Linked DNA regions of Kluyveromyces lactis. The main gene of each other region encodes a partner of the protein of the gene in region 3 in a complex. Links are inferred from orthologs where the notes say so. Each region holds a gene or a part of one and is shown on either strand. Other genes may lie near its edges. The genes, in order: SAP30, DEP1, KLLA0_E19933g, ASH1, RXT3, SDS3 and RPD3.

What was found.
Region 1: KLLA0_E19933g (region 3) and SAP30 share a complex: the UniProt entries of both Saccharomyces cerevisiae proteins name them as parts of the RPD3C(L) complex. The link is inferred for Kluyveromyces lactis from reciprocal best matches to the Saccharomyces cerevisiae genes DOT6 and SAP30.
Region 2: KLLA0_E19933g (region 3) and DEP1 share a complex: the UniProt entries of both Saccharomyces cerevisiae proteins name them as parts of the RPD3C(L) complex. The link is inferred for Kluyveromyces lactis from reciprocal best matches to the Saccharomyces cerevisiae genes DOT6 and DEP1.
Region 4: KLLA0_E19933g (region 3) and ASH1 share a complex: the UniProt entries of both Saccharomyces cerevisiae proteins name them as parts of the RPD3C(L) complex. The link is inferred for Kluyveromyces lactis from reciprocal best matches to the Saccharomyces cerevisiae genes DOT6 and ASH1.
Region 5: KLLA0_E19933g (region 3) and RXT3 share a complex: the UniProt entries of both Saccharomyces cerevisiae proteins name them as parts of the RPD3C(L) complex. The link is inferred for Kluyveromyces lactis from reciprocal best matches to the Saccharomyces cerevisiae genes DOT6 and RXT3.
Region 6: KLLA0_E19933g (region 3) and SDS3 share a complex: the UniProt entries of both Saccharomyces cerevisiae proteins name them as parts of the RPD3C(L) complex. The link is inferred for Kluyveromyces lactis from reciprocal best matches to the Saccharomyces cerevisiae genes DOT6 and SDS3.
Region 7: KLLA0_E19933g (region 3) and RPD3 share a complex: the UniProt entries of both Saccharomyces cerevisiae proteins name them as parts of the RPD3C(L) complex. The link is inferred for Kluyveromyces lactis from reciprocal best matches to the Saccharomyces cerevisiae genes DOT6 and RPD3.

What each region holds. Positions count from the first base shown.
Region 1 is NC_006041.1:986,102-988,456, forward strand, and holds SAP30 (Sap30p), read right to left. Parts: upstream 1,023-2,355; coding exon 522-1,022; downstream 1-521. Other genes in the region: CUE1 (Cue1p), read right to left, coding at 1-77; KLLA0_E11243g (putative endodeoxyribonuclease), read right to left, coding at 1,250-2,224. UniProt on the Saccharomyces cerevisiae protein: Component of the RPD3C(L) histone deacetylase complex (HDAC) responsible for the deacetylation of lysine residues on the N-terminal part of the core histones (H2A, H2B, H3 and H4).
Region 2 is NC_006042.1:735,893-739,419, reverse strand, and holds DEP1 (Rpd3L histone deacetylase complex subunit DEP1), read right to left. Parts: upstream 2,367-3,527; coding exon 546-2,366; downstream 1-545. Other genes in the region: rRNA-processing protein NOP12, read left to right, coding at 3,143-3,527. UniProt on the Saccharomyces cerevisiae protein: Component of the RPD3C(L) histone deacetylase complex (HDAC) responsible for the deacetylation of lysine residues on the N-terminal part of the core histones (H2A, H2B, H3 and H4).
Region 3 is NC_006041.1:1,773,977-1,777,596, reverse strand, and holds KLLA0_E19933g (SANT/Myb-like DNA-binding domain-containing protein), read left to right. Parts: upstream 1-1,311; coding exon 1,312-3,063; downstream 3,064-3,620. Other genes in the region: KLLA0_E19955g (3'-5'-exodeoxyribonuclease), read right to left, coding at 1-380. UniProt on the Saccharomyces cerevisiae protein: Component of the RPD3 histone deacetylase complex RPD3C(L) responsible for the deacetylation of lysine residues on the N-terminal part of the core histones (H2A, H2B, H3 and H4).
Region 4 is NC_006038.1:231,998-235,438, reverse strand, and holds ASH1 (DNA-binding transcription repressor ASH1), read right to left. Parts: upstream 1,887-3,441; coding exon 504-1,886; downstream 1-503. Other genes in the region: MTR2 (Mtr2p), read left to right, coding at 3,029-3,441. UniProt on the Saccharomyces cerevisiae protein: Component of the RPD3C(L) histone deacetylase complex (HDAC). Responsible for the deacetylation of lysine residues on the N-terminal part of the core histones (H2A, H2B, H3 and H4).
Region 5 is NC_006038.1:261,922-264,644, forward strand, and holds RXT3 (Rxt3p), read right to left. Parts: upstream 1,500-2,723; coding exon 534-1,499; downstream 1-533. Other genes in the region: RPL31B (60S ribosomal protein eL31), read left to right, coding at 2,356-2,412. UniProt on the Saccharomyces cerevisiae protein: Component of the RPD3C(L) histone deacetylase complex (HDAC) responsible for the deacetylation of lysine residues on the N-terminal part of the core histones (H2A, H2B, H3 and H4).
Region 6 is NC_006041.1:774,577-777,542, forward strand, and holds SDS3 (Sds3p), read right to left. Parts: upstream 1,469-2,966; coding exon 509-1,468; downstream 1-508. Other genes in the region: KTR5 (putative mannosyltransferase), read right to left, coding at 1-74; DNA-binding transcription factor CRZ1, read left to right, coding at 2,429-2,966. UniProt on the Saccharomyces cerevisiae protein: Component of the RPD3C(L) histone deacetylase complex (HDAC) responsible for the deacetylation of lysine residues on the N-terminal part of the core histones (H2A, H2B, H3 and H4).
Region 7 is NC_006041.1:185,658-188,811, forward strand, and holds RPD3 (histone deacetylase RPD3), read right to left. Parts: upstream 1,819-3,154; coding exon 520-1,818; downstream 1-519. Other genes in the region: lumazine synthase RIB4, read right to left, coding at 1-34; PEX6 (AAA family ATPase peroxin 6), read right to left, coding at 2,157-3,154. UniProt on the Saccharomyces cerevisiae protein: Catalytic component of the RPD3 histone deacetylase (HDAC) complexes RPD3C(L) and RPD3C(S) responsible for the deacetylation of lysine residues on the N-terminal part of the core histones (H2A, H2B, H3 and H4).

The DNA.
Region 1 (2,355 bases), about 790 kb from region 3:
TTGCTCAAAAACCATTTCACAGCAATATAACCGGCAATAGCCAAAATGATAAATAATGTGAAACTTTGATCCGCCATGATTAAAGTTTTAATTCAGATACTCTATCTAACACAATAATTTCTGTCTGCTCTCAATATATTGCTGTGATATTAATTATTCTGGAGACAGGAAAACACAGTATGCCTGGTTATGGAGCAAATACTTGTCTTGTTACAGTTTTTACTTGTGAATGATAATTAATATCATTCATTTCTTATTAAAGAGAAAAATTGTGTAAACGACCTGTAAAGGAAAAAAATGTTAAAGAGCAGAAGGACGTGTGTACAGCTTGCTGTGCAATCTGTCCTTTTCACTGCAGTGCATATAATCAGCGTATAGAACGCTAGTTCCAAATAGATTTCCGTTGATATCCTTGATTATTACGTTCTATATTATTCATATATGTTACAAATAGATGAAGCCATTAGGCTGATGTCGAATTACATGCCCAAGATGGAAGTGAGCTATGCAACACCACCGCTTCATCCCTTAAACTCCATTCTGAACTTCTTTTTCTGATTTTGTACTTTGTAAATAAACTGAGGAAGGCATTCCGCTTCTCGAACGGTATAGTTATCGAAGTGTTCCCTGACACCTTTCGCAAGCTCCTGCTTCGTAACCCTTGCATCTGGTACATTTTTCTGGTTTCGTTTCGCCGAGTAAGTATGTTTCCCAATCCTTGATCCTAGAAGGTACCCTTGTATTGATAGATTATCTGGAGATTTCAATTGGAACCTATCCTTATACCGCCTTAAAAATTCATCGGAGTATTGTTCGAAATCCATCGGATTTGGGAGCGGCTCATTCTTCGGATGATTGTTATGTATATGTTTCTTGTTCAAGTCCTTCAAGTATTGCTGTTGAGCACTCGAGAGTCTTTGTTTCACACTGGTCCTGGTCGATGCACCTGAAGTTGCATTGTTCGATGATTTGCCCTTAGATTCGGACTCTGAATTTGAGTTATTGTGTCCCCTTGGTGCCATGTCGTGTAAGATCCTTGTGACTGTACAGCACCCACTCTATTTGACACCTGAGATGGTATGGAGCAGTACATGGTAATGCCCTTTACCACCTGGACAAATGTTCAAAAAGATCAAAATTTTGTACTTAAGACACTTTTTTTTCTTAGATAAGTGGGAATAACTTGGAATTAGATATAGAGGATGACTACATTAAACAAAGAACATACATGCAGTCCCTGCGTCTCATCTCATTTACGTAAGAATCTATTGAAGTTTTGTAATACCGTGTCCATCGCCTTAGTCCTGGAAATGCCGTGAGCTCTTGAAATGGCGTCAAGAACGGAATCTAGCATCTGTCGTTGCTCTTGCGACGACACTGAATCCACAGAACAATCTGTCTCTGTCAAAATACACTGCAAGGGCAAACTCTTCAACAGCTCAGCACCAGAATCCCAGTCTTTCAAGTTGATCCAACACGAAACGCTAAAGAAAAGCCGTTCATGTGGGAAATTCGCCAGCCATAGCCGCACCGTATCCAATGTCCCAGTAAACGAGTGCAAACATATGTTCACCTCGCTATCCAATAATATTCTCTTGCAAATATCAAAAGTAGTACCTTGACATTTCACAGAATGGATCGAAACCGGCAACCCCCTTCCCTTTGCAACTTTTAATAACGTTTCAAATACCTGGATCTGATGTGCAAACTCTACCCTTACATTGCTTAAACTACTTCTTTCCAACGATGTCCCATTATTGCTCACGAGAAAGCCATTCTGAGGCAACCGAAAAACCTTGTCCAATCCGATCTCGCCAATACAACCCACACGAGAAACCCGCTCATCTGACAAGTAACTTGACAAATCTACTGGATCCGGCAATTGCTCTACCAATTCCATCAACTGTACCTCGTCTTTACATTTAAGACAATTCCTATAATGCCCTACCTTAGAAAGCGACCTATCTAACTGATATAAATGGCAATACCAGGGATGCACACCAAGACTAACATTGATTCCGGGACCTTCATCATCCAGTTGTTTCATTAGCAGCAGGGGCTCCAGTAATTCCCAGTCGTACACATTCGTGCTCATGACACACCGTTGGACATCACTTGCCGTTCCGGCAAGGGCCAGGTCCAAATTGCTTCTGATCTTATCGCATCCTACAGCATCCACCATAGTAGACACATGGCAATGTGCATCGACAAGACATGGAACCATTCTTGCCCCACAAAACCAAGCCCAATTACCACTCACCTGATAGCAGACTGGAACCCTAATTCCATAGCAATTGCCTTAATTGTCCCAATTCACCAATATGTTCCAAAGGTATACTTTTTGAATCACCTGGG
Region 2 (3,527 bases), on a different chromosome or scaffold from region 3:
CCTTTTAATTTGGACATCAAATCATGATATCGATCCCTTTGTTTCTTATAGAAAAATATCATCGGGTTGGATACGGTTTATTATAAGTTTTATTTCTATCCTGGTGTCTTAATAAAATAAAGATATTTCGCTTCACATTGGAATCTGACCAATTCATCACAACCTTTCCTCACTTCACAAGGACTACTATTTTTGGGGTTTCTTTCTCATCTTTTTATTATTTACGCTTTTATCTCTACCAACGTCCAACAAATGTTTAATTAGTAGGAAGTATATCTTCTATTCCATATATAACATACATCTTTGTATATTTTAAAATATCAAGGTTTCTCGAATTCACAGATGTCAATTCGAATACACTTTCATATCGTGGAAATGTTAAAAGTGCTATACATATACACAGTCATGCATATATTATACTTGTAAAGATTACACATCATAACAAAACGATAATTAAATGATGATTCATCAAGATGACATTTTATTGACTATTGATAAGAGCGTGTTTTCTGGTTTTTGGAGCACCTAGTGAAAAATTATATGACCTATTGTTGATGCTGTATTCCTGCAAGATCCTCATGAATTTCAGAATCTTTTAAACCACCAAGTTCAGGAGCACCTGGGAATCCTCCATAGAATTTCCTTATACCATCTAAGTCGCTCAATTCATTATTAAACCTCATTCTGTCTACAATGACTTCTAACTTATCGACAGGGTTGTTATGATATCTGAAATTGATATTTTCACATAATAAATCTTCTGATAACAAGTCGCCTGGACGTCTCAGATTGGCAGGAGCTGCGTATCCGGTTATACAACTCAAAGATTTATTTGAAATTTTTATTGGAACGTGATAATTTACTTCAGGTACAACAACGTCCATTTCACGTCTCTCTTTATTGATGTCATACCACTTCTGGGTTGTGTTTCCTAATAACTTATGTTTCAAATCTGAGACCTTTCTGTAGAAATCTTGATGAATAAACGTTCTTGTCGCCCTAGTTTCGGTATCTATGCACTCCAGCTCATACTTTTGCCTTTGGTACATTCTCTTTAGCTTAAAGTCCCGTATCGAAGCAATCTTCTGATAATAAGTCTGTAGTTGAGGATGTGATCCATCTAGACACATCTGTAGCTCATTCTGTAATTTGCTCAGCTTGTTTTCATATAGACTCTGTCGCAATTGAGCAAATTCGACTTCAATATTTGTTAGTTCTGCCAAAGCGTCTTGTCTTATCCTTTCCTTCTCCATGGGCGATAGTCCATTATCGGTAGAATCGACGCCAGGTGTATCTGTCTGTTGTTTCTCATCATTATCTTCTTCTACTGCGTCCATTTCGGGTTCTAATTCTTCCTCTTCATCCTCATTATTGTCCTCAACCTCACTTTCTAGAGTACCATCATCCTCAGCTTCTGCATCCGCGTCGATATCAACATCATGATCTCCGTTTTCATGCGTTTCATGCTCGTCTTCATAGTGACCTGATTTTGACTCAGTAGGTAATTTCGGTTTCTTGAACACCTGTTCAGACTTGACATGCTCCGAGCCGTTCTCTAGGGACTGTTGCTCTTCTTCACGGTTATGCTTTAAAGACACTTCTGATTCTTCTTGCGATTTGATCTCGTTATCATTCGCCTGCTCCTCTACTACCGGAGCATGCTGTTCTTGTTCATCGTTTGCAATTGTTTCTTCTTGACTGCCTCCTTCGGCAGGTACAGATACTTCGTCCTGGTTTTGGCTTAGTGCAAGTTTATTTGGCTCTGTTGTATGATCTGTATCAGCAACAGCGTCATCTTCATACGGTACTGGTTCAGGTTCTGTTTCGGCTGGTTTATCTTGCTGAACGATTGGTCCCTCATCTTTTGAAGGAGTAGCAAGTTTAGGGGCAGATTCTTGAATATAACTACCGACACCATTATTGATGTACTCTTGTTTTACAGTCTTCGAAAGATTATCATCATTTTGTTTACTTTTGTCATTACCGTTACTTTCAATCGAATTGGATGCCATTTCCGATAGTTTGACACGTGATTCGTCCTCTTCTAAATCCATCTTTTCGGTCTCAGCGTCTGATGAGATGTATATGTCCGATAGAGAGACTGAGTTTGGATGTTCTGGAGAAGTGACCTTAGATAATCCACTGGTACTGTTATCGTCGTATTCTAATGTACCAACCTTTGAGGGACTCCCTGATTTCGATTTCCTTGAATAACTATTTGCGTTAAAATTAACAGAATCAGAATCCGAAGCAATCTTCTCTAAAACTTCTTTGGTAAGTTTCGTAGTGGGGGCAGATCTGGTATTATGATCGTCAATCTCACTCGCAGCCTCTACACTGTTATTTTTGTTTCTCTCTGGCTCCATTTGAATGATTCAAAGATAGTACCGTTTGAATTCAAAAAGAAAGAAATCCCAACGCATATAACCAATACAACCTTTGTATTACTCCAATCGGCTGATGGCAAAGAAAAAACACTTAGCTTATACTCCAATGCAGAAACACACAAAATTTAACCAGCAAACCGTTTAATATGCGCAGTATAAGTTAAGAATTGCTGCTTGAATAGATTGAAAGTTGATACCTGACACACTAAAACAAAGGGCTGCAAATATACCTTACTTCGCGTAATTCTTATTTTTACTAGCAAAACAGTTATCTCTCTCTATTCTTAGTAGTACACAATATTTTAAATCACGTTTGGATGAGATCTATGTATTGATTGCTGACTGGCCATAACTATATGTTCATGCTAAAATCAGACTGTATTTTTATTCTTAACTTATATTTCGGCATTTCAGCACTATTTACAGTTTGTACGTTTTTTAAGGAAAAGGAACATGATGTTACCCGGCCATATAGTACATTCCACGGTGTTAATCACGTGACTACGATACATTCGATTTGTCCATAGAGCGTACGCTTTTCTTCCGCATTTCTTTTTGGTGGTAAATTCATGATTTCTGCTGGCTTTTCTAGGAAGTGCAGGTTTTTCACTTTCGATAATTCAACAGACAAATGGATAAAGCTCATCGCATCGAAGAGACTTGGACAGCCACCAGCAGGTTTAGTGCAGAGGAATAACGTTTGTGTTGGTGAACCAGGGTCTTTCAAACATAACAAACCAAAATTATATTACGGGATGTCCGCATTGAACAATTTATTTGGAAATTCCAAATCAGACGCGGCAGGTACATCATCGATTGCAGCGTTATTCTCCAAACCTAATCATGTCGATGAGCGTAAAGTAAAGTCGAAAGCTAGGACTGTGCTAACTGAGCCTGAACAGGATAAGGATGAACAAGAAGAAGAGAATGTCCAGGAAAGTGCTTCTACTGTCTCCGAAGGAGTAGAGAAAGAACAGGAAGAACAGGAAGAACAGCCGAAGAAGAAAAAGAAGAAGACCAAGAAGAATGATGAAGAGAATGATAATTTGGAAGTTCAATATTATTCTAAGGTATTAGGTGATTCTAAATCTAAAGATGAACCTAAGGATGAACCTAAGGACGACTCTTCCGATAGTGATA
Region 3 (3,620 bases):
ATCATCTTTGGTCCATTTTCAGTTGCAAATTCACTACAAAGCTTAATGGAATGTCTCGATTCTTCCAGTGAAGATCCGGTAATCAGCAGCTTATCCACATTAGTCAATCTACAACGGTTCAATATATTGGATAAATCCGTCTCGTGCTGCTTCTTGCCATGGTATTTCCCTTTGAACATGTGATCAGAGATATTGAACCCAATGTCAAAGTACCTTATCTGTTTCAAACCTGTCATCTTCTGAAGTGCTCTGGACATATACAGTGTAGAAGCTGTTTCACAGTGATATACAATGGCCATAATGAACCGAAAATATGCCAAACAAACAGGAAGTCCTTTTATCGTTCTGAAGTGGGATGAGTTGCATATCCTCTTGCGCATCGTGAGATGGCTTGTACAGAATTTTCGAGTGTTACCCGGATGTAAGGTTAAGCTCCACTCTGTGACTCAAGTCCGCATGGAAACATTCACAGACCGTACATGCCACACGATGTCCAAAAATATCGTGTAATGGGTATCTTCCGAAGCCTATCCAATGGCCTACCAACGCACTTATCACCTCCCGGAGTGCATCCCCCTACCTCCCATAAGCTTATTTTGACACATTCTACACACTACTGCAATAGCTTTCCGAAGGCGTAGACTAACGCACCAGTCCCAAACCAACCGGGGAACCCCATTTGCAAGAAGTACACAGACGAAAAAAACAAAAAAAGACACGTGAACGGTAAGATACAGGACCCTCACTCAGTATACTCACATCACATCTCATCTCTTCTCATCTCACCTGTCACCTCATCTCATCGCTGTCACACTGAAAAAATTCGAAATTTTTTTTTTTTCCAACTCATCGCGACGAAGAAAAAGCCACTAAACTCGACCTCATCGAGTCTTGTCATTTAACTTGACACTCTTTGTTTCCTAGGCAGAAACCTGTCTTTATTGGTTCAGTACTCAGTCTGACCTCAGTGATATCGACTCAGAGCATAACTGTCAATACGTTAGTTTATTGTTAGCCGATTTTGGAAGGAATTTAAGGCGATTTTTTGTTGTTTAAAAAGAAAAATCGTTCATAAACTACTGTCGGTTTTATTTTGGACCGTTCAAAATTTTTATTCCCTCTCGTTGTGTTAATGAGAACAGGTCTTTGAGCTAGAGAATTAGAGCTATTAGAAAGCTGTTACTGTCGTTTTGATTACATTTCGAAAATTTTTGAGCTGAATTTTGGTTTTACTGCTCTAAATAGTGGATTTTGTTTTGGTTGCTGATACTTTACAATTATAACTCACAATATTTTTAAGTGAAAGGGTAGATGACTGCACCAAAAAACGTTTCCAGTAGGACTCCGAGTTCGTGGGAACCTCAGGACGATGTCTTGTTGCGACACTTGAAAGAGGTGAAAAGACTGGGATGGAAGGATATTGCTCAGTATTTTACGAATAGAACTCCTAACGCGTGCCAATTTCGGTGGAGAAGGTTAAAATCTGGCAGTTTAAAGACGGTGAAGTCGCCAGAGGAGGAGGATGAGGAGGAGGATGAGTTGTTAAATGTGACTGTTCCAGTACTTGCTCCAATGGCTGTTTCTGCAGGACCTACGTTGAGCGCGGAATCTTTAAACACTGGGTCCTCTTCGACGGCGAAGAAGAATACGGCAAAGAAGTCTAGTTCTACGGGACCGATGCCCATGCCCATGCCAATTCCGACCTCAAAAGTTACCAATAGTGCCGTTCTTTCGTCACCTCATGGGTTGAATGGTAGTGGGAGTGCTACTAATAATAACAATAGCAACATGGGTGTTTTTTCGTCATCTGCTGCTACAGCTGGATCTAGTGTCCTATCGGTAAACGGACTTGCACATTCCGGATCGTTGTCCAAGTCTCCGTTCTCTACTGCTTCTCCTGCTCCTCATGGGAAATTTATAAAGCCCAGGTCTTCCTCTCATTCACAGGACGCCCCACCAAATATGCCCCATTTCAATGATCAAGAGGAAAATTTTGGTTTTATTCCAAAAGTCTTCATCAAGAGTAGACGTGGTTCCGCGGTCGTTGTGAATAACACTCCACAATCGAACTTGCCAAACCTGGCCAGTACGAAATCAAGGAAAAATTCCTTCTCCTCGCGCTCCAGACGTTCCTCTTTCAACGTAGCATCCGACAGGCATTTCATCCCAATGTCTTCTAACGGATCTTCTAGAAGATCTTCCGTTGTTGTCATGCCTTCATCAACTTTGCCCGCATCTTCCGCGAATCCAAGGAGAGAAAGCTTCACGACGAATCCATCTATGTCTAGAAGGAACTCTGTCTCTCAGTTTAGACGTGAGTCTATGCAAGCAGGTTTCATTGATATGCCCATAAAACAAAGCTCTCAACCCCCTCCTTCATCCGTATGTGCCGTTGGATCATTCAATGGCTTTGCAAAACCTTGGTCTGGCGATGAGGATAAGTTGTTGGTAGAAAAACGTCAAAGGTACCACTTGTCCATTGATGAGCTTTCAATCTTGTTACCTCATAGATCAGAACAAGAGATCCAATGGAGAATGGATTCGTTACATATAACGCCTAGCGATGCAGTTAGTACTGCTAGTCCTTCCGCCAATGTTAATCAATCGAGTTCTTCAGATGAGGTCCACTCTACTTACTCACCAGATACTGCCGTAGAGGAGCATGACGACATTGACGATGTTGATGTTGATGTAGAGATTGTTGGCCGCATGGAAGACTCTATTGCCCCAACTCAGCTAAGAGATGAATCTCCTACGTTTTCTCAAACATCTTCGACTGGTTCTTCCGCTCGTGAGAGATCGCCAGTGTTTTCACCGGACGCTCATTCCTTGAGAGACCATTCTCCAACTATTTCTGATGTGAACAACTCATCTTTTTATGGCAATAGGATGCCTGCCAGCGTACCGAAGCAAATTCTTCAAACACAGGCTAGTAATGAACAAACGCCCCAGTTCACTCCGAATTCATCGCAATCTCCTCAACCACCACAAAACCATCGACTACCGCAAGTGCCAACTCAGCCACTGCCTAGTTTGAATACGATATTCAAGCACATTGTTTGATGATAAACTGTCTGTATTAATACCATTATCAAGAACCAAAAACTTAAAAAACTACTTTACAAACCACTTTCAGACATGTATGAACATGAACCCCGAAGTGTATCGTGGCGCCAGTCGCTGCTACTTCAATCATCATTGTCGTTGATTTACTATCACATAAACGCACACACTTTCCTGATTATGACCCCATTGTACAAGTACTATAACTACAATAGAACATCAATAATACTGTTACAGTGTTATCTTTATGCCAAATCATTTGAACTGTACCATATGGTTATTTTTTGTCATAATAATGTCCCTATTCAGTTTATTATAGCAAAGGGACACGGGCTGCTCCTTTTGCATAAACACTTAAATGAAAAGTGCGTACTATTACGTTGTTTTGTTATTTACATTTTACTGCTATATCAATGATGGCATTAATTTTCGCTATTCTTACAATCATATACATATATACATGCATATATTAGATATTACACTATTATCAGTTTTCTTCTCATAAACACATGTCATGGCCACGCATTACTATGATTAGGTTATCCTTTAATTAATAT
Region 4 (3,441 bases), on a different chromosome or scaffold from region 3:
CAGATATTAAAGCAAAACGAAAGCAAGTGATGAGATATTGACGGTTCCAGTTATTTATATTTTTGATGAAGTTTTTTTTTTTTTTTTTTTTTTTTTTTTTCATTTTCAGATAGCGAACATACATCGATCTTGACGTAAATGGCATATTAATGAAAAGAAAGAAAAAATCATTCACTTTATGAAGAGGTCTGAAGCAGCTACTAAGTGCCAGTCATCAATATCAACCTATGATATTGATGCTCAAAGATCAGAAGTGTGAAAATATTAATTTACGCTACATTAGATAAATTATAGGAAGAATATATGTTTAGATTATATCATTATATTAATCAAATTAGTTAGAATTGAAGGGAAAGGGAATAGTGGAAATATTATCCGGACAAACAAGGGAAAAGAGAAGTAAGTATTTATAAATGCAATATTAGAAGGTAAAAAGCTCCGTTGAAAGTTGGGATCAGTTAATTATGCAAGGAAGGTTGGTTTTTTTATCAGGCTTTTCTGCCCTATTCGTCAGTAGCAACGGCGTGACCGCAGAACAAACATGCTATTTTGTAATCAGTATTTCCGTCAGCGTCCTCAATCGAAACTGGCTTGTTTGATTTCATAAGTGTCAATTCACCTTTTGAAGGTATTTTACGGCAAGTTTCATTGGTGCATCTTGTATGGGTCTTCTTATAACGGAGCCCACAAGAATTACAAAGCTGATCTTGTTTGCTTTTAGACCAAGAAGGTCTCCAACACGGGGAATCTGTAATGTGACATGAAACGCAAAATCTATGAGAGTTACGCCTTTGTGTTGGAGAGCTTTTGGGAGATGTTTGGACTAGCTCTTGGTCGGTGTCGTCTTCTGAGTTGGAGTTCGCCGAAGTCTTTTCGCCGAAATCCTCCACGCTGTTGATCACAATAGGATGAAATCTCTGTTGGGGAGATTGAAGAGATTTTGGAGTTGTGGATAGTGTAATCTTCTTTTGTGGAGGGGTCTTTGGTGGTGCAGGATTAGCCTTAAATACCGACTTTTGTGATTCGAATTTGTCTTCATATGTAAGCAATATGCGTTGATCCAGCATCTTCTTCAGTTTTCTTGCTTTAAAACTGTTGGTCTTCTTATGTTTTGAGGAACGGTTCTTCTTTACCGCTTTAACTAATGATTCGCTGATCATAGAAGTGAATTGTCTGGGAGGACTACTTGGTGGGGTTACCAGTACTTTGCTGGAGCTTGAAGTGTTTGAAAGTTGATAGAATTCATCTGGTGAAGTATTGATCGATGATATTCTAGCAGCATCGGCTAAAATATTTAATCCATGAGTAAAATTACCAGCTCTTGGATTAGCTTGAGATACCTGATCTGTAATGTTTTGGTACTGAGTGTAATTAGTTTCCTTACACCACTCTGTTAAGTTTTGCCTCCATAGAGGCGTGGAGGCACAAGTGTCTGGATAGAGGTACGAAAACTCTTGTATTTTAGGATGTGCCAATAACTTTAGATGCTTTAATGGTTGTAGTGCTGGTTGCGAGGGTTGCGCAACCTCATTCTGTAGTTGTGAACAGGAAGGCAGTTGAGTTGATTTTCCAATATTGTTACTGCTGTTGCTGCTAATGCTGCTTCCCTCACATACTGTCTGTCTCCATATGGAAGAATTAGATGAAGCGGACACTGGTGATGTAGTAGGCGTGATTTGTACGAATCCAGAAGGTGAGGCTGGCGCCGTTTTAGATTTTTTCCGGGCGTCAAAGAAATATGGCGATTCTTCTAATGTCATTGGGGCGTTCAAACTGGTACTTAAAGATGGCAATAATAGATCATCAAAGGATCTTTTTCTTCTTGCGTAGAACTTTTGCTCGGCGTGAGGATTGGTGAATGGTAAAGGGTTCGAAATAGTGGACATCGTTAGCTTGAATAGTGAAAAGGTCGAAGCGATGGGAAATGAGCTGATTCGATGCTCTATAATGGGGAACAAGTTACGGTGTTAATTGAAGTAAATTATTGATGTGTAACACAGTTGTCAGGACCAGTGTTTGAAGAGTGAAGAAATATATCAGGCCTTATAAGGATTAGCTAGAACTGTCATATATCAACCACGATACCTAATTCAGTAAAAATAAGGGGATTATCTTTCCAATCGATCTGAAAGAATTGTCCCATGGAAACCCAGATTTGGATTCTGGTTTATATACTCTAGGGATACTGAACCAATTTCAATCAGTTCAGTCCCGCAAACTTAGTAGGAATCCATATATCGATGAAACAGAAAAAAGTGTAAACAAAGAATACCTGCGCCAAACCCGCAGAGGGTTTACCGAATTTTTTTCGATTTGGCAAAAGAATTCATACTTGTTCTATGCCTGCAAAACTAAAGGGAAAGACAAAAGATATACTTCTTTTTCTCTTACCGGCTATAAAATTGATCAAAACTAGTCAACCATTGTTTACAAAATCATATATCATGTAATGGAATCGCGCAGCGATGTTCACTTAGCTTTCAGATCTCTGTTTATGTTTATTTTTCCACACCAAGTCTTGGTATCTGTTCGGCTGGTATTATGGATTTACATTTCGATGCTGGGTTTTTCATGTTTACACTTTCTTCACATATGCAAGCAGAAAATAGAATTTAAAAAAAAAAGAATACTAGTGCGCGAGGCAGCTTGACAAAAGTGCTGGCAAAAGAGACATAAGGAAAAGAAAAATCCGACTCTACAATATGTACGCTAGATATTTGCTCGAGTCGATCAGCATTTAGAGTTGTGTTTGCATGTGTTCATTTGAGAGATTTTGAAATCAGGGTCTACCTAAAATCATCAAGGAAATTACAACGCGTACATATATTGTTTGTTACCCGCATTTGATGAAGCTAGTCAATTGAATTTACCCAAGATGAAATTTGGAGAGAAGAAGACTTCTTTCCATAGATTTAATAATAAAATTTTTGATCGATGTTGAAATTAATAGTATTAAGGTAAACGTTATCAAAGCCTTCAATAAAAATCAGCAAATCTCTTTAAAGCATCATCAACTGATATTATCAAAATGAATCGTCAACCTCAAATCGTGGAGACTTTTGTGAAGAAAGTACTGGCTCATCTAGATGAGCCCGATCCAGCAAAGTTGGAACAATTCCTACAGCTATTTAACCCACATCAGTGCAAAATAATATTCAATTCCCAACCGTTTGGACAGGCAGTGCAATTCCTTCAGGCATGGCAAACTGGAGTGGTACTGACGCAGCACGTTATCACCGCGGTTGATTTCCATGTGATACCAGGTACCGGAACCTTACTATGCAATGTGAACTGTAAAGTTAGATTTGACGAAAGTGGGAAGGATAAGAACGGCCAGGATAGCACAGTTCCAGCAAATAGTCAGGATTCACAGTCCCGCCCAGGTCAGGGATCGATTAATAGTAGATCACTGGATAAACCAAGACCTATATGGGGTACCTA
Region 5 (2,723 bases), on a different chromosome or scaffold from region 3:
AAAATGTAAAACCAGGGGTAAAAAGTCACCCAGAAGTTAGAATCAGTGAGACCCTTACTCTAACCTAATCTTTAAGTATACCAAGAAACAAGATTCAGGGTCTTATGGGTCACTTTGTAGCCGTTAACGTCTCGAACACTTCTCTTATGGTCGGTCTTTTCAAATCTTTTTCCCAATTATTAATCTTATTGAATGTCACTAAAAGAATAGAAGGAACCTTCAACCAATTTAAAAGAAGGTTGCAGGGACGTATAAAATAGCATATATATCAGACCTCTATGTTTAGAAGGTTTGCATGGCAGTGGAGATAATGGTAGTTATTATTATGATATTACATTGTTGAGTAATCTATACACAACGCTTTTACATATACAAATGTACATATTCTTTTCGGCACGCATCGATGCAGTACGCACGGCTTGCACATAACCGATTTAAGTCAACTTTCTCGTCACTTGTACGAGACACATGACGAAAGAAAATATATTGGGGGACGGAAGATACCGGCTGCTGGCCTTTTTCTTGATGCAGCGTTACCACTTTAGTGACTTAGTCTTGTCAGATTGTTGTATCTCATTTAATGTGTTGTCCATCACCACAATATCAACATGGAAAATTCCGAACGACAAACCGTCATGGACTTGCCCTGTCCATTCTCTGGATGTGATATTATTTCTCGTGGATGACGCATAACCTTGAAGAGGTGGTAACATTAGGATGTCCACTTTGATCGCAAATGGAATTTCACGTTCTGGGATTGCTCCTGTCACACTATTTTGGTCCGACATATTTGTAGGAGTTCTTCTCAATTTAGTTTTCAAAGAGTGAACATTGGATGGCTTGCCATTGCTGTTTTGATCCAATGGTTCAGAAAATGGCAAAACTCCACAGTGTTGAAGTACTAATATAATATCCGAATCGTCGGTATATATATCTGTGCCCCATATCTCTCGGTTTTGGTACCGTATGTTCTCACTACGGGCCACTTGTTGTAAATATATGGAATCGATCTGTATTGTAAGGATTGAGTTGATATGGTTATGAGACATCCTTGGAATAAAAGGTCTCGGAGATCTGATGGTCTTGAAATTATAAGGGAATGGAAGGGCTTCCAATTTCGGATCCCCAGGAAAAACACCAACTCTCATGGAGTCGTACTCCAAGGTGGCCAAAGGGCGCCGCTGTAGTGCGTAATTCTTCTCTGTATATTCAAGGACAGATTTAGAGTTTACGTCTATTTCGTCTTCGTCATCTTCAGGTTTGCTGTCTGGAGCTGCAGTTTCAAGGGTAGTGTTGTTTTCAGGTTCCCCTGTTTGGGAACTTTCATCTGCAACATTCTGTGTATTAGCCGGTGCAGCAACTGCTTCTTCTGATGATGATGATCCGATTTTACCCGTATCCTGATCTCGGGCCTGTTTGGACTCCCTAGAACTATTCAGCAGTGTCTCTTGCATGCTGTATATCCTGTTTTGGGTTTTTCTGTACAACTCATCACTCATATTCAAACAGTGGCTGAAAGCTGTTGAATAAATCAAAGTTTTACCAGCTATACAATCGGCAACTAATCAATTGAGCCACTGCGAAGTTCTCAGCTTGTAATAATGTATCAATCGACCCTGCTCAGGAGTAAATTTCTCTCGATTTATATTATGAATTCACTGTGTATTCGATGTACAGATGGAGATTCTTTCATTAACAACATTCATCACCAGTTTGACCATAATAGTCTATATACGGGACTGTTATAACATCCGTACATTCGTGAGGCTTCATTTGTTCCACTGTAACATCCGTGCACTCTGATGTAAAATAGTTTTATGTTTTCATTTTCTATAATAGGAAACTTTCATTCCGCATTTCGCACTTCGAATGACACAAACATTTCTAGGACATGTTGTGTGTGGGAAGCAATGATACAGGCCTGAGGAACCTCGCTTGACAACGCCCGGCGGCCTCCGATGACAGGTTTACCCACTCTGCCTAGGATGCCAATTCACCTTTCTAGCTCTACACCCCAGCCGGCAACCATTCCTTGTCCAGAGTGCAGGCATTCCTCCGTCTACTGGAACCAGCCTGGGCAGCCACCCAGCCAGGTTTGGACATACTAGGCGTTTCACCCACCACTGGCTGCCTTGCTCCAGCCTAGTGCCTAGTCTATTCCCTCCAGTACCAGAGAGAAAGTGTTGATTTTCGATGAAATATTATTTGGATACTGAGAAATAAGCTATATTGTAAGTGGTGAAATTAGAGGTTTCTGAATGTTAATAGGCGTTTACGATACTGTTTATTTGATTTGTGTGTTGGTTCTTAATAGAGAAGAACGAAGCAGTACACTGAGGAACTATCGAATACAAAATGGCCGGTTTGAAAGACGTCGTTACTCGTGAATACACCATCAACATGCACAAAAGAGTATGTTAGCTTTTACCAATGATGAAACAAAATTTCGAAGTGAAATTACACAATAGATACCAAAGTGGATAAGAGCAATGAGAAGGGGAGTTTAAAGATCATATACTGTATTTGAATGCAACATTGCATGTAAGTTTGCACACAATGGAGATACTTTGGGAGAATATGTGGATATTAAAGACCGGAGATGAAGTCTATTTAGTTTATTTTGATATCATTAGAATGTGGAGAAAATATACACCATGCTATACGTCCTTGTGAAAACGCTAAGTTTGTTTCTGGAATATAATGTTGAAAAGATGGGTTATTTG
Region 6 (2,966 bases), about 1.0 Mb from region 3:
ATATGGTGTACACCAACACAAATTAGAAGTGCAATTGTTATCACTATCAGTAGCTTTCTGGTTCTATTCCTCATGAGATAAGATGGAAACTATCAGTAATCATGCAAAAAAAAGTGGAAAAGATGAATGTGTACGTCCCAATAGTTGAAGATGAAAGAATGAGGTTTTATACTAATATTCTTGGTACTTTAATCGACTGTTGAGTTTATGTTTATAAATGGATCGCGTATTGCGCATAAATCATCGTCAATAGATAACTGAAATATCAAAATTCAGATTCTGTTCACTTTTTTGTGCATACATTAAAAAATACGCAGTATTATAAAGTAGTAGTATTACACATGAGATACACTAAAAATACAAGGTATAAGACTGACAATAACGGATAGTATTTGGGACCTAAGCAGTTTGGGAAATATTGGATGACAGAAAAAAAAAACTGGTAACATTTTAGTTTCTTCACTTGTACCCCAGACCAGATTTACAAGATAAATCCAACTATTGATATTCATTTGAATGGGGCTGGTACTTGGCCCGTTAGCTTTCTTATCAAAGATATATCATCAGTAACCTCATCCGGAGTTAAAGATTGAAGAATAGGAGCGCTTTTTGTCGAAAGTCTTTGGTGACCTCGACCCATCTTCTTTTCCTTTTCCTTTTCCTTTCCGAACAATAAAGCCTGTAATTCTGATGAATCGCTCAGATATTGCATCGACTCTGCATCGCTATTAGTATTGCTTGATTTCCCGCTTCCGTTTGCAGGTGTAATGTTTGCAGGAGTTTGAGCTCTATTCTGATTAGTAGCAGCACGCCTACGCAATGACCTCCTATCGGTAGTATTACCAGTCTCATTGCCACTTTCTGTTTGGCTGACATCGTTCGGTGACGAATCCCAAGCCGAAAAATTGGCTGAATTTTGAGTTGAGCTTCTAGTCTGCTTCTGGAATTTCCCTCGAGAATAATCCATCGAATAAGACTGTGTGTTTGCTACATCCAGAAGTAGCCGTTCCTCTTGCAATTTCTTGATAGTTTTCTGTAGGGATTCATACAACATCTCTTTGCACAATTTGATCATCCTTTCATGTTCTTGCTTGGCTTTTTCAATATCTTCTTGGAACTCTACTTTGGACCTGTAAATCCGGTACTCTTCGAAAAGCCTGAGCCTAACTAATTCCAAATCCCTATCTTCTTCAAGATCCCTCAATTTCCTCAGAAATTCAGGGTTATTCCCCTGATGCAGCGTCGTTAAATCTGTCTGTAACAGAGTCAACCTATCCCTATAATGCACATCTTTATCCTTTGCAAACGACGTTCTTATCTTTCCCACTTTCCCTTCAAACTGTAATCGCTTCTTATCCTTCCTACTCAAATCCTGCCCAACACCTGCGGGAATAGCACCCCCATTCTGTTTCGCTCCTTGACCTTTCTTCACACCGCTGCTCATCATAGAATATTGTACTTCATCCATGTTCCTCGGGGGGAGAAGCTGTATTTACTGCAAAAGCTGATATAATTGTTAAAGTGAAACCAGAAAAACTCTCCGGTATCGTTTCTTACCAATTATCCTGTGAAATTACTAACACAGAATAAAAAATTACAATTGAAAACGTTAACACAACGAGTTAATGTGCTGCTCGTTACATGTATCGTGCAACGTATGAGCTGGGTACAAATTATGTACAAATTATGTATAAAGTATGTACAAAGTACAACTGCTTAAGCTGCTCTGATTTAAAAAAAAAAAAAAAAAAATAATAATAATCAAATGAGACAAACAAGAAAATGCCATGCTTCTGCCGTTCGAACCTCAATGCTCCCATAACACTGATTTATTCATTGCAAGTATCACCATTTTCTTTTTTAAATTTTTTATGTTCCGTTTTCCATCTCATTTCCCCGCAGAAAAGTCGCAGCTTCAGATAAGAAAAGCTTAAAGCTGGCCGGTATAAGTGCAGGCTTTAAGTGTGTTGAAAGTTTTTAAAGGCTTTGAACTTTTGGCAATTTTGGTAAAGAAAAGGGAAAATTCCCAAAAAAAAAAAAAGTAAGTTAAGTTATAATATAATGACGATGTGATTTTTTTTTTGTTAGGTGAATAGAAGTGAAATAGTGAGACTAATTCAGAGATAAAACAGTGGTACGCAGCCTGTGATACACATCAGTGTTGTGTGTTATTAGTACAGATAAATCGCTGAATTTTGCGGTGCTTTGAACTACCCCTAATATTCTAATACTTTAAATTTCGACGTTATAAGTGTGTCGATTTTATAAAGCTCTTCTTTTCAGTCTTTCCAGTTCATAGGAAAGAAAGAACAGAGAACAGAGTTTTCGAAAAACATATTGGTTTCCCCTTTGGATATAATATTACCTGACTTTGAGACTTGTATTCCGAGTTGTTTTTGTTGTTTTTTTTTTTGACTGAGAGAACAGTATGGATATTGACGATTATTTGAATGTCGATAGTCCCAGTGACATCGGTGCGAATGTACTGTTAAATCCGGAAGATTCTGACAATTCTCGAGGGTCGAAGGTTGCGCCTGGTTTCAATGCGATGAATAATAGTAGGAAATGTGGTGTCAAGCTGTCTGACTTCGGTGGTGATATACTGTCAGGTTTTAAGGAGTTTGGGTTCAGTGTCGCGAATTCCTTTTCGAAAGAAACTGGTGATAATAACAAAAACGCACCTTCAATCCCTAGTCTTAGTATAAATGGTGTCCTGGCTCACGATATGCTTAATCGCAGTGTGAAAAGTAACGCCCAGCTTCAGCAGCCACCTAGCGTCAACCGTAACAACGGTAGAAATGCTAATAAATATGTGTCACATGAATTGAATATACCAAACACAGATCCATCTTTTTTGTTCCCTGCCTTGTCCACTAATGAGACTGACAATTTGGATACTGTGTCGTCGGCATCTAACTCACCATATATTTACCCATCAGATGCAATCTCACCAAGTACTGGGTACC
Region 7 (3,154 bases), about 1.6 Mb from region 3:
CTTGATCCAATTGACCCAAACCTTTAACAGCCATTGCAAAATTTACTAACTGTGATTTGAATGTTTAGATACAACGTATCTACTATCAGATAATATATATCTCTATATGAAATAGGATAAGCTTTATTCTTGTGTAATCGACCTATCTGATCTTAACTTTTAAATATCCATTCGCTTCTGGATTTTCATTTTTTGATCTTTTTCATATATAGATTTGTTACTGACAACCGAAGTGCAGATGTAAGTCATATCTGAACTGGAATAGTATTACGTGGAAAATTATGGCAAATACCGATACTGACGGAGGGAAAACACGATAGAAAATTGACCTCATTAGATCAATTCTAACTTGGGCACCAATCTGTATATTCAGCATCATATTAACCGTCGGATGAATGACATATAACAGTGATTAGGTGAGTGACGATAAAACCTGTAGCAAATGCGGAAGAGTACTTCTAAGTGTAAATATATTATAATACAGTAAATAATAAAAGATCATCTGTTTTTGTTTTCTGGCTAAAATTCGGTTGCATTCTCAATGGTTATGTCTCTTGCATACTGAGAACCTCCTCTAGTGTCCTTCGCAGCTGCAGTATCTTCTTCGGCGTCACCTTTGTCCTCCGCATCGCGAGGAACGTGATTGAGTTGAACGCTTGGGGCATATTTAGTATGCTCTAGATTGCTGAAAATATTAAGTAGCACTTTATCCAAATACTCCGGTGTATTGACGTTATACATATTAGATGGTCTGACATCCAATTTGTAATCAGGGCCATAATATTCGTAGTAATCGTTGTAAGGAAGTTCTTCATCCAAAATCACATTATTCAGAATACCCGTTTCGAAAGCCCATGTACGAGCCACGTTTCGCATTGTATAACCACCACCACCAACAATCATGAGAGGAACACCGAACGATTTCATGTAGTTGACACAGTTTGCGTGACCCTTCATTGAAAGGTTGAAACAACCTAAACGATCGCCGGATAAAGAGTCACCACCGCATTGGAGTACCACGGCAGAAGGTTGGTACCATTCCATAATTTTACCTATGACTGGTTCAAATACCGATTTGTAAGTGGCATCGTCAATACCGTCCCTTAATGGGACATTCACAGCATAGTATTTACCTTTCCCGACACCAGTATCTCTCAATTCACCAGTACCTGGGAAGAATTCCCCATATTTATGGAAAGAACATGTCATAACTCGATCCGTAGTATAAAAAGCTTCTTCTACACCATCACCGTGATGCACATCAATATCAATATAAAGAACACGAGGATGGTACCTTAACAACTCGATGATACCTAGCACTATATCGTTCAAGTAACAGAACCCTGAAGCTTCCGATTTTTTGGCATGATGTAAACCACCAGCATAGTTAATGGCAACATCACATTTGCCTCGGTTTAATCTGGCTGCACCCTCCATAGAACCACCTCCAGATATACTACAGTACTCGTACAAACCATCAAACACAGGACAATCGTCTCCAACGTTGAATTTCACACTCTCCTTTTGGAACATATCTAAATTATCTGGAGTGACTCGAGACAAGAAATCAATATATTCATCGGTATGGAACTGACACATCTCCTGTTTCGTTGCAGGTTTAGCCCTGTAAATTTCCATCTTCTTATACAAACCGTAATTCATAATCAACGAATGTGTCATTCTTATTCTATGTGGTTTCATAGGATGTCCTGCACCATAAGCATAGTTTCCCACATCAGCATCATAAAAGTATGCAACTCGCTTCTTCTCGTTAGCCTTCACCGTTATCGGGTCAAAAGGTTTAGCTTCGTATACCATACCGTCCACGCACAATTAATCTTAATAGTTTCGCTAAGTTGGAGAGCCGGTACAAATTTTTCACCTCTTGTTTATATAGCTTTCTTGGTATGTTTTCGACATAAATCAAGGTTTTAATAGAAATCACTACCTTCATTTTTCACCGTCTCCATCAATATAGAATTTCCAAGCAGCTAAAGAAAGAAGAAAAGCCTTAAAGAGATCTGTCATGTTACACGAGTTGAAGAAGATTAAGAAGTAGACCAACTTTTTACTGACCAGATCATCCTGCATGGATGAGTTAATATATTTGTTATATATGATTTATAATAATATTCGATATGATTACTTATTAACGATCATTGAGATTCGAAACTACTCTTTAATCTCAAGTAATGTCTTAATTCATCCTCAGAAACACTTGGTATTAGATTCTGTTGAGCAAGCTCGAAGTCTTGTAATTTTACCACGACCTTCAAGTCATTCTCGTTTGCCACGTTATCAAACCAATACCTCAATGATATATTCTTTTTATTTTCCATGTTATACTTCTCCCACTTTTCATCAACTTCACCAGCAACTCTAGTCATAGCGTTTAAAAGGGCATCAGAACACAATGCGTAGAAATCTGCACCTGTATAGTTGAACGGACATTTTTTGGCAATATCTAGTATATCGATACCAGATTCTAGTGTGAACTTTCTCGTCAAAGCCTTGATGATATTTGCCTGTTTTTTATCGGTATCTGATATCCCCAAATATAACATCTTGTCAAACCTACCGGGACGTAATAATGCTTCATCAAGAAGATCTGGCCTATTCGTAGCTCCAATTACGAACACTCCGTCTCCTCCTGAACTCATTCCGTCTAGTTCTGCCAAAAGTTGAGACACAATACGATCCATAACACCCCCAGAATCTCCCTGATTTCCTCTCTTTGGTGCCACGGAATCAAGTTCATCGAAAAAAATGACACATGGCTTAGCATCTCTTGCTTTCTGGAAGACACGTCTAACATTTGCCTCGGATTCACCAATGTACATGTTAAGAAGTTCAGGCCCTTTAACACTGAAAAAATTTAAAGAGAAGTTAGACGCAATTGCCTTCGCTAACAAGGTTTTACCAGTCCCAGGAGGTCCATAGAAAAGAATACCACTTCTCTTTTTCATACCAGATGAAAATAGTTCAGGGTGCTTGAGTGGCATATCTATGGTATCCATGATTTCTCCTTTGACCACATCCATCCCACCAATATCATCCCAAGTCACGTTAGGAATTTTAGGAGCTCCGATAGAGTCTGAGAATCTATCTCTTGCAATATTTATGACTGCAGTTATATCGGTCATATCAATTAGAA